2 linked regions of the Anolis sagrei genome follow. Each later gene encodes a partner of the first gene's protein in a complex. Links are inferred from orthologs where the notes say so. Each region holds a gene or a part of one and is shown in the gene's direction. Other genes may lie near its edges.

The links.
Region 2: SATB1 (region 1) and HOXB2 share a complex: the UniProt entries of both Homo sapiens proteins name them as parts of the nuclear protein complex. The link is inferred for Anolis sagrei from reciprocal best matches to the Homo sapiens genes SATB1 and HOXB2.

Annotation. Positions count from the first base shown.
Region 1 is NC_090026.1:87,919,084-87,926,408, forward strand, and holds the start of SATB1 (DNA-binding protein SATB1), read left to right. Parts: upstream 1-4,023; 5' UTR 4,024-4,947; coding exon of another isoform or gene 4,948-4,951; intron 4,952-7,247; 5' UTR 7,248-7,311; intron 7,312-7,325. UniProt on the Homo sapiens protein: Crucial silencing factor contributing to the initiation of X inactivation mediated by Xist RNA that occurs during embryogenesis and in lymphoma.
Region 2 is NC_090026.1:33,270,120-33,277,533, forward strand, and holds the start of HOXB2 (homeobox protein Hox-B2), read left to right. Parts: upstream 1-4,190; 5' UTR 4,191-4,197; coding exon 4,198-4,660; intron 4,661-7,414. UniProt on the Homo sapiens protein: Sequence-specific transcription factor which is part of a developmental regulatory system that provides cells with specific positional identities on the anterior-posterior axis.

The DNA of each region.
Region 1 (7,325 bases):
ATTTGCAGGATAGTGCCCACTATTTTAGAGGGCAATGGACTATTCGGGGTGGGGGGAGAGAAGCAAGGCAGACTCCATGACAGAGACAGAGCTGTTTTCAAGAGAAAAGCCAATGGACACTAAGGGGCTGTCCTCACTGCTCCTTAGTGCTTTCCTTCTAAAGCAGTTGCTTCTACAGTCTCGCTTATCCGACATTCCGTCTCATCCGACGCTCCTATCCTTTTTCCTCCAGCATTTCTCTTTCAATTAAAGGAGCACTTCCCAACTCTCTCTCCATTCCCTATAAGTGAAAAAGGTGAGACAAGGGGGGTGAGGAAGAGGCAGGACCGGAAGCAGAAGCATCCTTCCTCCTTCCCTCTGTGATTTCCATGTTCCTCTTCCACATCTGGACACTTCCTGCTGGGCCACTCTAACCCCGAGGCATTGCCTTACATTAACCATTTGAGTCCCTGTTGTAGTATTCTAGGTGTCTAGCACTGCATCAAATGGCTAACAGTAGGAGACTCCATATTATTCAACATTTTCGTTTATCCGACGTTCTGTTGGCCCATTTATGTCAGATTTATTGGTCGTGTCAGGAGTGACTTGAGAAACTGCAAGTCGCTTCTGGTATGAGAGAATTGGCCATCTGCAAGGTCGTTGCCCAGGGGACACATGGATGATTTGATGTTTTTATAATCCTTGTGAGAGGCTTCTCTCATGTCCCCGCATGAGGAGCTGGAGCTGATAGAGGGAGCTCATCCGCCTCTCCCCGGATTCGAACCTGTGACCTGTCGGTCTTTCCTCCTGCCGGCACAGGGGTTTAACCCACTGTGCCACCAGGGGCTCCTGTTTATGTCAGATAAGCGAGACTCTATTGTATTTGCCTAATAATGAGGCTGGTCATAACAACTCAGGTAACACCAGGGCACAGCCATTTGTGTTGGCTTTGCAATGACTTCTAGATAGTTATTGTATCATATTGCCAGTAACACTTGTTCTTAGTGCATACCTCCCCCCTGTACGAAGGTACCTTTTTCGACCCCATTTCGGAAGAGTTCCCCCCTCGCAAATAGTAAAGGTATCTCACCCCATTTTTACCTTTAGTATTTCACTCTATACATGCGGCCCACTCACTGTTTTGTGTTATGAATGATTTTATTGCAATTTTATATTGGTTATAGTATTTTATAGTTTATGTTTTATGTAATTGTTTATGTTCTTGTTTATGTTTGTATTCTATTTATTGTGTTGCGTTGTTGGACTTGGCCTCATGTAAGCCGCCCCGAGTCCCCATTGGGGAGATGGTGGTGGGGTACAAATAAAGTTTATTATTATTATTATTATTATTATTATTGGGACAGGTAATGCTTTGACCACTCCCTCGTGATTTTTAAGAGCAGTTAACTGTGTTGTTTCAAAGTACCAACATGCATATCAGGAATCACTCCTTCAGTACTACAAAGCTATTTAAGTTATACACTTAGTACCAAAGTACTCTGATTCTTAGATATACACTCTTTTGATCATACTGACTGGAAGTTGGACGATGTCCAGTCTATGGAAGACTACAGATTCTCTACCTGTCTGATGGATTTGCAAAAAAATTAAGAATATTTTGAAAGGACAGGAATCTGAGATTGAACCAGCAGTGGACTGAAGTTGTAATGTGTTAAAATTATTATTTTTTCAGTTACTAAAATGTAGCCAAAAGTTTTGTCTTTCTGAACTAAGAACTGCCAAGTTGGCATTTTTGTCAGCATACAACAACATATAATACAACCTTTACTTAGGTTTCATTCTGATGAATAATAATTAGTATTATTAATAATTATTATTATTTCAGAAATGGTATATTATTACCAGTTATTAAAGAAAGGTGTGCCCTTATAATCATTGCCCGGGCATTGTTTGCATGCCAAAATATGCCTATAGTTAAATCTGTTGTGAAAGAAGCATGCATAATCCAGAAATTAAAAGGAGCAGGGTGGATTTGACACTGAATTCCCTGCTTTCAGATCAATCAGGTAGCTTCCTGAGGTTTGGGGGGCTGGGAAAGGTTTGTAAGGATTGTGTTTCCAAGAACTTTGCCCAGGTTTCTCTATACTCTGCTCCTGTGAAGACAGGAAAGGTCTCAAAGTCTGTCTGAGAGGCTGCAGGGAGGTTTTAAAAGGTACCAAAACGGGAAATGAACCCGAAGGCAGAGAACCAACAGAGCCGAATACCTTCTAAGTAACTCTAGTGGGGAACGCCAAGCAGGGATACAAAGCTCTCCAAATCCCAGGTTTAAAGGCAGCACTCCTCCCTCCCTCTTTCAATGGATTTCTAGGAAGCCAGCTTTCTCGGTTGCCGGTCCAGGTTTCAGAGCAGAAGAGCCAATATGCTCGCATTCTGACACAGAAGTTTCCCTTTCCTTTTTCCACTTCCTCGCCGTGTGTCTCTTTCTCTGTGTCTCTGAAGCCACGATCCAGCAGTCGAAAGAGTGGCCCCTCCCTCCATATATATATTTATGATCTTCCTCTCGGTATTTTTATATGTATCACAATTTCAGAAAGAGAGGAAGATCATAACCCGTTCCTTCCTTCCCGATCTTCTCCCGAGCCTTAAAATATTGATCACCTTTGTTAGATTTTGGAAAACTGCCCTGCTCGGTCATATTCTTCCTCTACCTCCCACCCCTCAAACATTATTTCTTAGTTGTGAGTTTTTCCATGTTCCAGAAGCATTCTCTCCTGACGTTTCGCCTGCATCTATGGCAGGCCAGGCATCCTCAAAAGTCGCTTCCAGTTACTACAATGCAACCTGAGCCCTGCCACATCCACTGTGGAGGACCTCCTTAAAGTAACACCAGAGGCACTCCCAAGTGGCCAGCTACTGGTCAAAGGATATTATTTAGTATAAGGCCAAGTTTTTAAAAACTTTAAAAAAAAACCCAATACTGTATACAGTACAACTGTACCCCCAGTTCGCGTCTGATATGATAAATACATATCCCCAGAGGTTGTGAGGTCTGTTGGAAACTAGGAAAATGGGGTTTATATATCTGTGGAATGTCCAGGGTGGGAGAAAGAACTCTTGTCTGTTTCAGGAAGGTGTGAATGTTGCAATTGTCCACCCTTGATTAGCACTGAATGGCCTTGTAACTTCAAAGCCTGTCTGATTGCTGCCTGGGCATCCTTTGTTGGAAAGTGTTAGCTGGCCCTGATTGTTTCTTGTCTGTAATTTCCTACTTTGAGTATTGTTCTTTATTAACTGTTTTGATTTTTGAGTTTATTTTTAATACAGGGGAATTCCAGACAAGAAACAACCAGGGCCATCTAATCACACACACCCCCAACAAAGCATTCCCCCAAGCAAGGAGCAGCCAGACCTTGAAGCTGCAAGACCAGTAAATGCTAATCATAAAGTTGGAAGAGACCTCGTGGGCCATCCAGTCCAACCCCCTGCCAAGAAGCAGGAAAATCGCATTCAAAGAACCCCCGACAGATGGCCATCCACCCTCTGTTTAAAAGCCTCCACCACACAGAGTTCCACTGCTGGTGGTCAATTGCAACATTCACACCTGCCTCAAGCAGAGTTCTTTCTCCCACCCTGGACATTACATAAACCCCACTTGCCTGGTTTCCAACAGATCTCTCAACCTCTGGGGATGCCTGCCATAGATGCAGGCGAAACGTCAGGAGAGAATGCTTCTGGAAGATAGCCATAGAAGACAGCAACCCAGTGATCCCGGCCACGAAAGCCTTCGACAGTACATTATTTCTTAGATTTGAAGTGAGCAGCAGCTGACAGCCAAGCATGTGGTGTATAAATATTAGAGTGGAGGGGGGAATAGAGAAGGTGGGGGTGAGAGATAAATAGAGAGATAGATAGAAAGTGGGGGGAAGAGAAGGAGGAGGAGATAAAAAGGGGAGACTCAGCAGCCTTGGTGGTGAGCCTGTGAGGGGCGCTGCTCTCCGGGAGGAAAGAAGGGGAGCAGCGTTGAGGAAAAGAGAGGTGGGGGAAAGAGAAAGAGGAGGGGGCAGGGATGAGAATAGCGTTGAAAAACAACAACAACACAAGCCCAACAGTGATGAGCTCCTTCCCGCCGCACGGGGACTGGGAGGGAAGTGTGTGCAGCCTGTGAGTGCGTCTCACCTGACTTCCTCCTTCCCCGGGGCGGCGAGGGAGGAAGGCAGAAAGAGAGAGAGAGAAAAAGAGAGAGAGAAACAGGCAGGAAGGCAAGCAGGCGCGCTCACCAGCCAGCCCCACACAAACAACAACAACAACAACAACAACAAAACCTAGGGGAGGGTGGCAGAAGGAACGGCAGACGCCGGCGGACGAGGAGAGCAGAGGAGACAAGCACAAAAACAATAATTATAACAACAGCAGCAGCAGCAAGAAGGGAAGCCAAGCCAACCCTCTCCTCCTCCTCCTCCTGCCAACCTTTCTTCGCCCCTCACTCCGTCTCAGTCTTCTCCGCGGGAAGAAAAGAGCCAGAAGGCAAAGAGACAAAAAGAAAGAGAGAGAAAGAAAGAAGAAAGCGAAACAGAGTTCCTGATCGAGGAAGGAAGCCGAAGGAGGAGCCCCGCGTCGGGCACTTGGTGGGCTTCAGTGCCAGCCGAGAGAAAGAGAGAAGGTGGAAGAGGCAGGCGGTGGGTCGGTCGGTCGGTGGGGCGCCGCCTTCTCGTCGTCTCCTTCCTCCTCCTCTTCAGTCGCCGCCTGCCAGGCAGTTCAGGAGCAGAGGAGGGAGGGAGAGAGGGTGGCAGGCTCTCTCTCTGTCTCTCTCTCTCTCTCTCTCTGTGCCCCCTCCTCCTTTCCTCTTCTCTTCCTCCTCCTCCTCCTCCACCTCCTCCTCCTCTTCCTCCGCGCTCCTTCCTTTAAACGCCCACTCCTGATGGCTGAAAAGACAACTTGAAGTTCAGTGCAATTAACTTCGCCGGCGCCGGGGAAGCGGAAGGTGTCGCCCAGCCTCGCCGCGCTCTCATGAGTGAGTGACTGACTCCGTCCTTTCTCGCCTGCCTGACTGCCTGCCTTCCTTTCCTTCTTTCCCTCCACTTCCAACACCCTCTTCTTTTCCCCCTCCCGCTCTTTTGTTGTTGTTGTCGTTTTGTATCCAATTCTGGGTGTGAAGAGTTCAAACTTGAGTTCGGGTAGGAAGGGCTGAGGGGTTGAGAGAGCTTGTATCTATCTACTTCTGAAAGTGAAGAGTTCACACTCAGCTGAGGGAAAGCCTTAGAGTGACCTCACAACCTCTGAGGTTGTTTGCCATAGATGCAGGTGAAACGTCAGGAGAGAATGCTTCTGGAGCGTGGCTACATAGCCCGGAAAACTTACAGCAATCCTTAGAGGGTTGTTTTAGTTTTTTTCGGGCTGTATGGACATGTTCTAGAGGGGTTTCTCACTCATCTTTAGGGGGGCTTAGAGGGGCTTCTCACTCATCTTTAGAGGGGCTCAGAGGGGTTTCTCACTCATCCCACTTTGTACCCCTTTTTTGGCTGAAAAGGGGTGGGAGCGACTATTACGCGGTGAAACCAATTCCAGCTATGTGGCTTTATTCAGGCAGCAGCTTTACTTCCCCATGTACCTATTCCCTAGCTACCAGCGAAGGTCTTCAGGGCCGAGGTCTTCGTAGGGTTTTGGGGTTTTTTGTAAGTTCGTGGCTTTTTTGTTTCTGACAGACATTGGTTTTTGGTGAAATGGCTCGGAGGCACCTCCGAGAGGCACCTGCCGGCGGGGAAGTTGAGGCAAGCGAGGTCCGTGGCGCCGGGAGAAAAGTTTGGGCTCAACTCCGTCTCGCCTTCCCGGAGCGCAGCCAGGAAGTTTTAGGTTCAGGGGCCTTTGAGGCGAGGCTGAGGAAGGAAGGAAGGAAGGAAGGAAGGAAGGAAGGAAGGAAGGAAGGAAGGAAGGAAGGAAGGAAGGAAGGAGACTCAGGGGAGATGCTGGCGGCGGGAGGAAGAGGAGAGGAAGGCCGGGGACTCTGACAAGACTGACAGGAAAGTGAGCGAGTTTGAAAAGGCGAGGTGAACACTCTCTCGCCAGACAAGGGAGAGGTCAATTTAGAGGCGCTTTTTGGCGGGAAGAGTTCGTGTTTCCCAAAATTGAGGGCATTTGATGGGCGGGATGTGTCCAATTGTCCCTCGGATGACCTTAAGGAGGCGGCTTCTCGCTCACACCTTCGCAGGTGCCTCTCTCTTTCCCTCGCATCCCGCCTTTCCCTGGGCAGCCTCCATCCCGCCTCCTTCCTTTTAAGCACTGGGTGGTCCCTGAAACGGCACCCCATAAGGAAATGCAGTTTCCTTTGGCTATTCACCTGAACTTTTCCTAAGTGTCCCCTCCAGAAGGAGGCACTGGATCACTCATCTTCCCCTTTCTCCTCCCCTTAACAAAAAATCCTGATTTTGGAAAGCTTTTGACAGCTTTAGAAAGCCACATAGATCCAGAATAGTTTCAGAGGGTACCTTCTGAAGTTGTGTCAGAATACTTTAGTTTCAACCAGCCTTTTTCAGAGGTGTGTCTCAACAGGTTTGGCGATGACAGCTAACTTGTGCTGGAGCAAAAGTTTCTCTTTTAGTGGCAGAGAATTGCTTTGCTTTGTTGGAAGGGAATTCCGGCTGTGATTCTTGGCATCAGTACCATCTGATTTGCATTTTATTTGAGAGATCCGTTTAAACTTGAGAGTCCCCTCCCCAAAATAAGGTTAAATGTGAATTTCTTGGGCAAGCAGCATAACTTCCCAGTGAAGCATTCTGTAGTTAAATTGGATGATGTTCTAATCTGACAGATCGTTATTCTGTGTTACTAAAAGATATGACTGAGAAACTGCCACTTATTTTTTCTCCCCCAACTATTATTTTGGTTTTGTGCATTCTTACTTACAGTCTGCTCCACTCTGCTGGCAAACATTAGCACTCCAGCTTACACTTTTTTCTTTGACAAATGTGCAGACAGGCATAGCATTAAGAGACATCTTAAATATTAACAACCTAAGCATCTGTTGTGAAACAAATTTAATATATTTACTCTGTTTTTCCTCACATTGCTAAGAAAGGTTAGAATATGTGAAAATTCTAACTTAAGCTGGCAAAAAGGAATTGAATGAGTATTTCACTGTCTTGTCAACAGTGTTTACACCGATCACCAAATATGGGGATCTTAATTTGTGCCATTGTTTCAAACAGAAAACAATATTCATACTGTACAGAGGCGTGAACGTAGCTTAATAAGCTTAGGCGCATTATAAAACTTGTCTTCCTAATCTGTTCCAACATTCACTTGTGTTTCAGATACATCGCTTATCAATTAGAAGCAATAACACATAGACAGTATAAACAATATGAGATTCAAAAAGTAAGTGTGCAGCA
Region 2 (7,414 bases), about 55 Mb from region 1:
CATCAGAAACACAACAAGATGAGTCCACAGCAAACAAGATCATTCCGCTGGCTGTTGTATTGGATCACACACTGGACACTTCCCAAGTGTCTAGGACTGTGTAAGGTATCGGCGAATAATGTATGCAGATCCCAGTAGGGTGGCCTTTTGCAGCTGGCAGATTGTAATCTTGTCAGCGCTGATTGTGTTTAAGTGCGGGCCAAGGTCTTTAGGCACTGCACCCAGTGTGCCAATCACCACTGGGACCACCTTTACTGGTTTGTGCCAATCTTTGCAGTTCAATCTTTAAATCCTCATATCATGTCAGCTTTTCCAGTTGTTTCTCTTCAATCCAGCTCTCGCCTGGGATTGCAATATTATTATTATTACTATTATTATTATTATTAATAATAATAATAATAATCTTCGTGCTCACTGTAGGTCAGTCTTTCTCAGCTAAGTCATCAGTATTTTTTAGTATGTGTACTTTTAAAAATCCTTGGCAATCACCTCTTTCTCCTCAAAACAATTTTCAAACTTATTCAGAACAGGACAGACCAAATAAAAGTATTTATGATATTTTATGTACCATGAACCAAACCATAGTTGCAATGAATGTAGTCTTACATTAATTTACATAATCTTAGAACTACAAAACCTATTATGCAGTGTCACTAAGAATGAGCCAAGTATAGACAAAAACATCTAAGGCTTTTAAAAGAAAGCAAGAAATGGACAGGGCTGGAGAATTAGTAGTGAAAAGACAACCCAATGTAATTTAATATGCCAGATGGACGTCCTATGGAAACTGATGCTCATGAGCTGAAAGTGGAACTAAATGTGGAATTCTTCTTGGAGTTACTGTATGGGAATAAATAGAGCTTAGAAAAGTTACATATTTGGACTACCTGTATGACAAGAAATTTACCATGTCCAAATTTTGCTCAAGCATTAAAAAATAATTGTATTTCTGTATCAATTCTTTCTAGATTATTTCAGCCAGACCCCACCTTTCTGTAAACAGGTATAGATGGCAACATTCATTTCCCCTTTTTGCATTTGTTTCACATTATTTTCACTCTACTTGCAGTTTCTCAAGTAGCTCCTGACATGAAAAAAACTCTACTTTTTTGAAATCAATAAGACTAGAAAATAATACTAAACTTTTACAGATACAGACCAAACATGACTACAATTACAGAACTCCATAGCATCTTATTATAGTAGTAAGCTATTCTTCTCCAGCCTCATGGTCTCCAAGCATGTTGTGCTCTAAGTCCTACCATTAAATATACATCAGGGATGGCCATGATTTCTGAGGATGATGGGAGCAGTAGTCCAGCACTTCTGAACATCCCAGGTTGGTAGATGCTTTACTATGGTCTTATTCTCATAGTAATTTTAGAAACTCTGGAAGGAAGTTTTCAAAGTATTTATTTCTATACACATGGTCCAAAGATGAAACAACAGTTATAATAGCATAGCAGCAGCAACAGCAATAGGCTTTACAATGCAAATTCACAATACAGACAGTGTATTTGATTTTAATGGAAAGTATACTAAAAAAAAGAAAATTCTAGTTTTTCAAGATCAATCCATTTCAATGGGAGAAATTAGTGCTGGAGTCTCTCATTAAAATAAATGGGACTTCATTAGCAAAGAGTTTTGGCTGAAACATGGTCTATATATTGGCTTAAATTCTCATATACCAGTTTACAATTTCCTAGTTTCCTGGAATTCACTCTGAGCCTCTCAGGGAGATAGGTCGGAATACAAATAAAGTTTTTGTTGTTGTTGTTGTTGTTGTTGTTGTTGTTGTTCTCACACCACTAGGTATACTAATAAACTTATAATAGCATAGGCATACTACCAAATAACAGAAAAATATACTGCTTTAATAACTCATTTCATAGCACCCCTCAAAATATGAAGAGCTCGTTGGTAATAATAACCATAATAAAGATACTACTACTAGTGGTAACATTTTTTTCTCAATTCTAAAGCATCATACACCTCCAGTTTTAGGGCTTCTATTTAAAGCCACCCACACAGACATTTCAGTACACAAAAGTTTCTGAGCTTCACTCCATTTCTCAATACATTTTCCCAGCCCTGGTCTTGTCTCTAACAAGACTCTGGAAGGGGATAAATTGAGCTTTGATAAACAAAGACTTTCCCCCCAAAAAGTATCCTATGTTTTCAGAATTTTTGATTTATTTGTTTCTCACTTTCTCTCCAATCTCCAAGAGGTTATATTTTGGTACCTTTGCTCCCAAATCTCTGAAGGAAGAAGGACATTTCTTAGGAATTTTGAGGAAGGTCCAAATTCTTTAGGATGTGAGCAAAGGCAGGGCTGTCAGGAGTCTTTGGTGAGAAAAGATTGATCGCTTCTCTCTGCCTCTGCCTCTCTCCCCCACACTCTTGGCTCTTTCTCTCACTTTGTGTACAACTTTTTTTGTTTGATGGCCTAGTAGTGGAAATATTCTTGAGCACATCTAATAAACTTATATTAGAAAAGAAATGCTTCAAATCAGCTTGATGATCTGCAGATATACACTGAGTCCCTCCAGGGAGATAGGGCAGAATATAAATACATTATTATTATTATTATTATTATTATTATTATTATTATTATTATTTTACTGACACAAAAACACCGTATAACACAGCCAATGAGTTATGTATGCTGGATATCACAAAATCACAAGTCAAACACTTCCCAAGCATTTAGGACTGTGTCATTTATTATTATTATTATTATTATTATTATTATTATTATTATTATTAGCCATCCCCTGCCATGCATTGCTGTGGCCCAGTCTGTGTATATGTGTGTGTATATATGTGTGTATATATTTGTGAATATGTGTGTTTGCTCATATATGTATTGTAATGTGTTTTTTGGCTTTTTTAGTCTCTTCTGTGTTTTTCAGTGTTTTATGAATGATGGTCACTTGTTGGCCTGATAGGTGTATTGTGTCCAAATTTGGTGTCAATTCATCCAGTGGTTTTTGAGTTATGCGAATCCCACAAACGAACATTACACTTTAATTTATAGATTATTATTACTATTATTATTATGGACACAAAAGCACAGTATGTCACAGCAAATGAGATCTATATGCTGGATTTCGTATCACAAAATCACAAGTCGAACACTTCCCAAGCGTCTAGGACTGTGTGATGTATTTTCGAATGATGCACACAGATCCAAGTAAGGTGGCCTTTTGCAGTTAAGTTATTATTATTATTATTATTATTATTATTATTATTATTGGGGGTGTGTGCAGAAATATTACCACCTCTGGTCTTTAATCAGTCAAAAACTAGACTTATTTGTTTTTCAAATGACTTTTGACATTCTAGCTGATCAAAAGGCCTACAATTGGACTACTAACGAAAACGTTTTGAAGTAGCTTTTTAAAAGAACCTGCAGATCTAATATCTTTAAGAGGGCTGCTTTCTCTGCCTAGATTTTGGGTGGGGTTGGTTGTTAACTTAGTTTTCTGAATCTGCCTGGGAAACGTCCTCTTCCATCATCTCTGAACTCTGTCTCTTGTCCTTTGGGACAAGAGCTGGGTTTCCTTCTGTCCTGCTTGTTCCCTCCTGGGAACTGGGGTTAAGATGGGCCTTTCTCTCCCCTTGGAAGTGAAAAAGGCAGACTTCAGCCAACCAGCACCATTCTGTCCCCCCTTTCTTGCACAACCTTTTCTTGGCATTTTCCTTAGGAGTCATCCTATATAAGAGGACAGAGATTCTCCAAAAGCTGCTTTAATAATTAATTTATTATGATTATTATATATTTATTATGATTATTATATATACATTATTATTATTATTATTATTATTATTATTATTCAAATGCATGAAAAACAAACCTGTTTTCAACCAAGCCGGCCCTCCTATTGGGCAAGCCAGGCCACGTGACCAGGAATTGGCTGCAATTTATCCCTGCTCGTCAGTTTAATAGAGCAAGGTCCCCATACGCTTGTATTATCTGCAATATAAGATATTTTTTTTGCAAAGGGGGGCAGGGAGAGGGGGGAGGAGACGGCAAGTAACATTAATACTAAGGCGATATAAAATATTAGAAGGGCCTTCAAGATCAATCGTTGCTTCCCCACCCACCCACCCACCCGCATTTCTCTCTCTTCTCCCCCCCCCCCCACCTCCCCTCCATTCCCCCTCCCTTTTGTACTGGGCCCCTTGGAAAAAGCCATGAATTTTGAATTTGAGAGGGAGATCGGCTTCATAAACAGCCAGCCATCGCTAGCGGAGTGTCTGACGTCCCTTCCCGCTGTCCTGGAGACATTTCAAACTTCATCAATCAAGGAGCCACCGACGTTAATTCCTCCTCCTTCGGAGCAAAGCCTCCTCGGTTTGGATCCTTCTTCTCTCAGCAGCAGCAGCAGCAGCAACAGCAGCGGCGGCAGTAGCGGCCAACCCACGCCAAGGAGCCAAAAGAGACGGAGGCACGGGCACGGGCATGGGCAGGCCCCGAAAACGACGGCGCCCCCGACGGTGCCCCCCGCCCCCACCGCCCCCCTGGCCGGGGAATTCCCCTGGATGAAGGAGAAGAAGGGCGCCAAGAAAGCCAGCCCCGGCCCGGCCTCGGCTCCGCCCGCAGCCGCCGCCGCCTTCCCTGCCTCCCTGCCTGGATCAGCCGCCGCTTCCCCTCCAGGTCGGTATATAAGGCGGGAGGGGGGAACCATGGGGTGCCCTCGCCCCAGATCTGGCTATTCCAAACCTACGAATTCCTGGGAAAGCGGGCAAGGACTTTCTAGGGCTCAACGCAAAATAAACGATTGGGGAAAAGACAATTCCCTTCCCTTTATTTCCTTCCTTCCTTCTTTTCTCTTTCCCTTTCTTTTCCCTCCCTCCTACCACCTGCATTCCTGCTTTCTCTTCCTTCTCTTCCTCTTTCTTTCTCTCCTCCTAACTCCTTCCTCCTCTTCCTTCCTTCTCTTCCTCTTCTTCCTCCTTTTTCTTTCCTCCTTATCCCTTCTTTCCTTCTTTTCCTCCTTCTTTCTTTCCTCCTATCTCTTTCTTTCTTCCCTCCCCTCACTTCTCTATAATCTCTTCTTCCTTCTTTCTTTCCTCCTATCCCCTTCCTTCTCTTCTCTTCTTTCTTTCTTTCTTTCTTTCTTCCCTCCCTCCCCTCCCTTCTCTATAATCCCTTCATTCCTTCTTTCTCTTCCTTCTCTTTCTCCTTTCATTCCTTCTACTCCCTTCCTCTTCTTCCTTCTATTTCCCTTCCATTCCTTCCTTACCTTTCTTCTCTTTCTCTTTCTTTCTTTCTTTCTTTCTTTCTTTCTTTCTATCCCATTCCTCCTCTTCCTCCTTTTGCTTTCCTCCTTCCTTCCTTCCTTCCTTCCTTCCTTCCTTCCTTATGTTCTTCTCTTCCTCCTTCTTTCTTTCTTCCTACCCCTCCCTCCTCTTCTTTCCTTCCTTCCCTCCTTCTCTTCCACCTTCTTTCTTTTCTCCTACCCCCTTTCTTTCTTCCCTTCCCTTCCTTCTCTATCGTCTCTTCTTCCTTCCTTCTTTCTTTCCTCCTACCCCCTTCCTTCACTTCCTCTTTCTTTCTTTCCTCCCACTCTCCTTCATGTCTTCTTTCTCTTCTCTTCCTCCTTTTTTCTTTCCTCCAACCCCTTCCTCCTCTCCCTCTCTCCCTCCCTTCCTTCTCTTCCTCCTTCTTTCTTTCCTCCTACCTCTTTCTTTTTTTCTTCCCTTCCCTTCTCGATCGTCTCTTCCTTCCTTCCTTCCTTCCTTCCTTCCTTCCTTCCTTCCTTCCTTCTACCTGCTTTCTTCTCTTCCTCTGTCTGTCTGTCTGTCTTTCTTTCTTTCTTTCTTTCTTTCTTTCTTTCTTTCTTTCCTTCCGCCCACTCACCTCCTTTCCACCCTTCCTTTTCACCATCCTTAATCAGGAGTGAGAGAAAATCGCCAGTGCTCCTACAATTTCGGATAAAGAGTGGCCCTCCTCAAATCTTGGTATTTCAAACCTATTCGAAGCTGGGAAAGGTTGCTCCAAGCCAAAGAAACAACTGGGGAAAAGACAGGTTGGAATGCTACTCCAATCTTTTCCTCCCTCCCTCACTCCCTCCTCGTTTCCTCTTTTCTTTTCCTTCCTCTCTTCTTCCCTTCCTTTGAACCATCCTTAATCAGGATAAAAAGATACATCTTGATCCATGCATTCACTTATGGCCCTAGAAGTACACATACCACCTCTGCTTGTGGTTGTACTTGGGCGCTTGGGTTATTTAATAAGCTGGAGGAACAGAAGATACTTCGGAGATAATGCTCTTTTCTCCTTAAGAAGGGTGAAGGTGATGTGGTGTGTTTGGAATATTTTTTTTATTTCAGGACTCTATGTGTATGTAAGGATGGCAGGGGAGAACAACCACTCGCCACTATCTCAAAAGAACCAGTGCCTTCGACGCCATGGCTCATCCTCTCTCCCTCTAGGCTCGCCAGTTTGGTGGATAAAGGATAGGGTATATTTCCTTCCTTTCCTTGCCCTTTTCTTCTCCACCCGAGGAGTTTTTGAAAGAACTGGGATTCTTAATGAGTCTAAAACCCCAAGGAGAAGAAGGAAGGTGAGAGGAGAGGAAAGGAAAGAGGGTGATTCTTTTGAGGATCTCCTCCCAACTTTCCTTGTTGGTGCCATAGTTGGAGAGACAGGCTTTCCTCTTTCTTCCTCTCATCTCAATTTTCTGTCCGCTTCTCTTCCTTCACCCCTGTGCTATGGGGCAGGTTGTTTAGGAAACCAAGAGGGGGGAGCCGAATACAGGAGATTAAGGGTGGAGGATGGGGTCACATAAACCGAACTAGCATCCTCTCCTGAAATCCAGGATATCTGTGAGCTCTTCGGTTTCCTTTAGTGGTTGAAGCGATTTGGAGACTCCCCCATCCAGCCGTGGAGACCCCACACTGTCTCAGCCTCAAAGAAAAGCAAAGGCAAACCCTCTCTGGACAAATCTTTCCAAGCAAACCCACTGACAGAGCTTTCATAAGTCGGAAACAGCTCTAGCAAAAGGGTTCTGCTTCTTAGACTGAATCGAGACAGTCTATTTTCAATTATCTGGGTTTGGAGATAACTCTTGTTTTGAGAAGGCCTCTTAAGACTGGATCTATACTGCCCTATATCCCAGGATCTGATTCCAGATTATCTTCTTATCCCAGATTATTTATCAGTGTAGACTCATATAATCCAGTTCAAAATAGATAATTTGGGATCAGATCCTGGTATATCGGTCTACTCTTAAGAGGCCTTCTCAAAGCAAAAGTTTTCTCCAAACCCAAATATTTGAAACTAGCTTTGTGCTGTCTTCTTATTTGTTGGCATTGCAGAAAACTATCCTGCATGTAAGATCTCCAATAAGTGTATGTTGTCCCCACAAAGCTTGAGATACACCAAAGAGGCACAAAACCTCTTCAA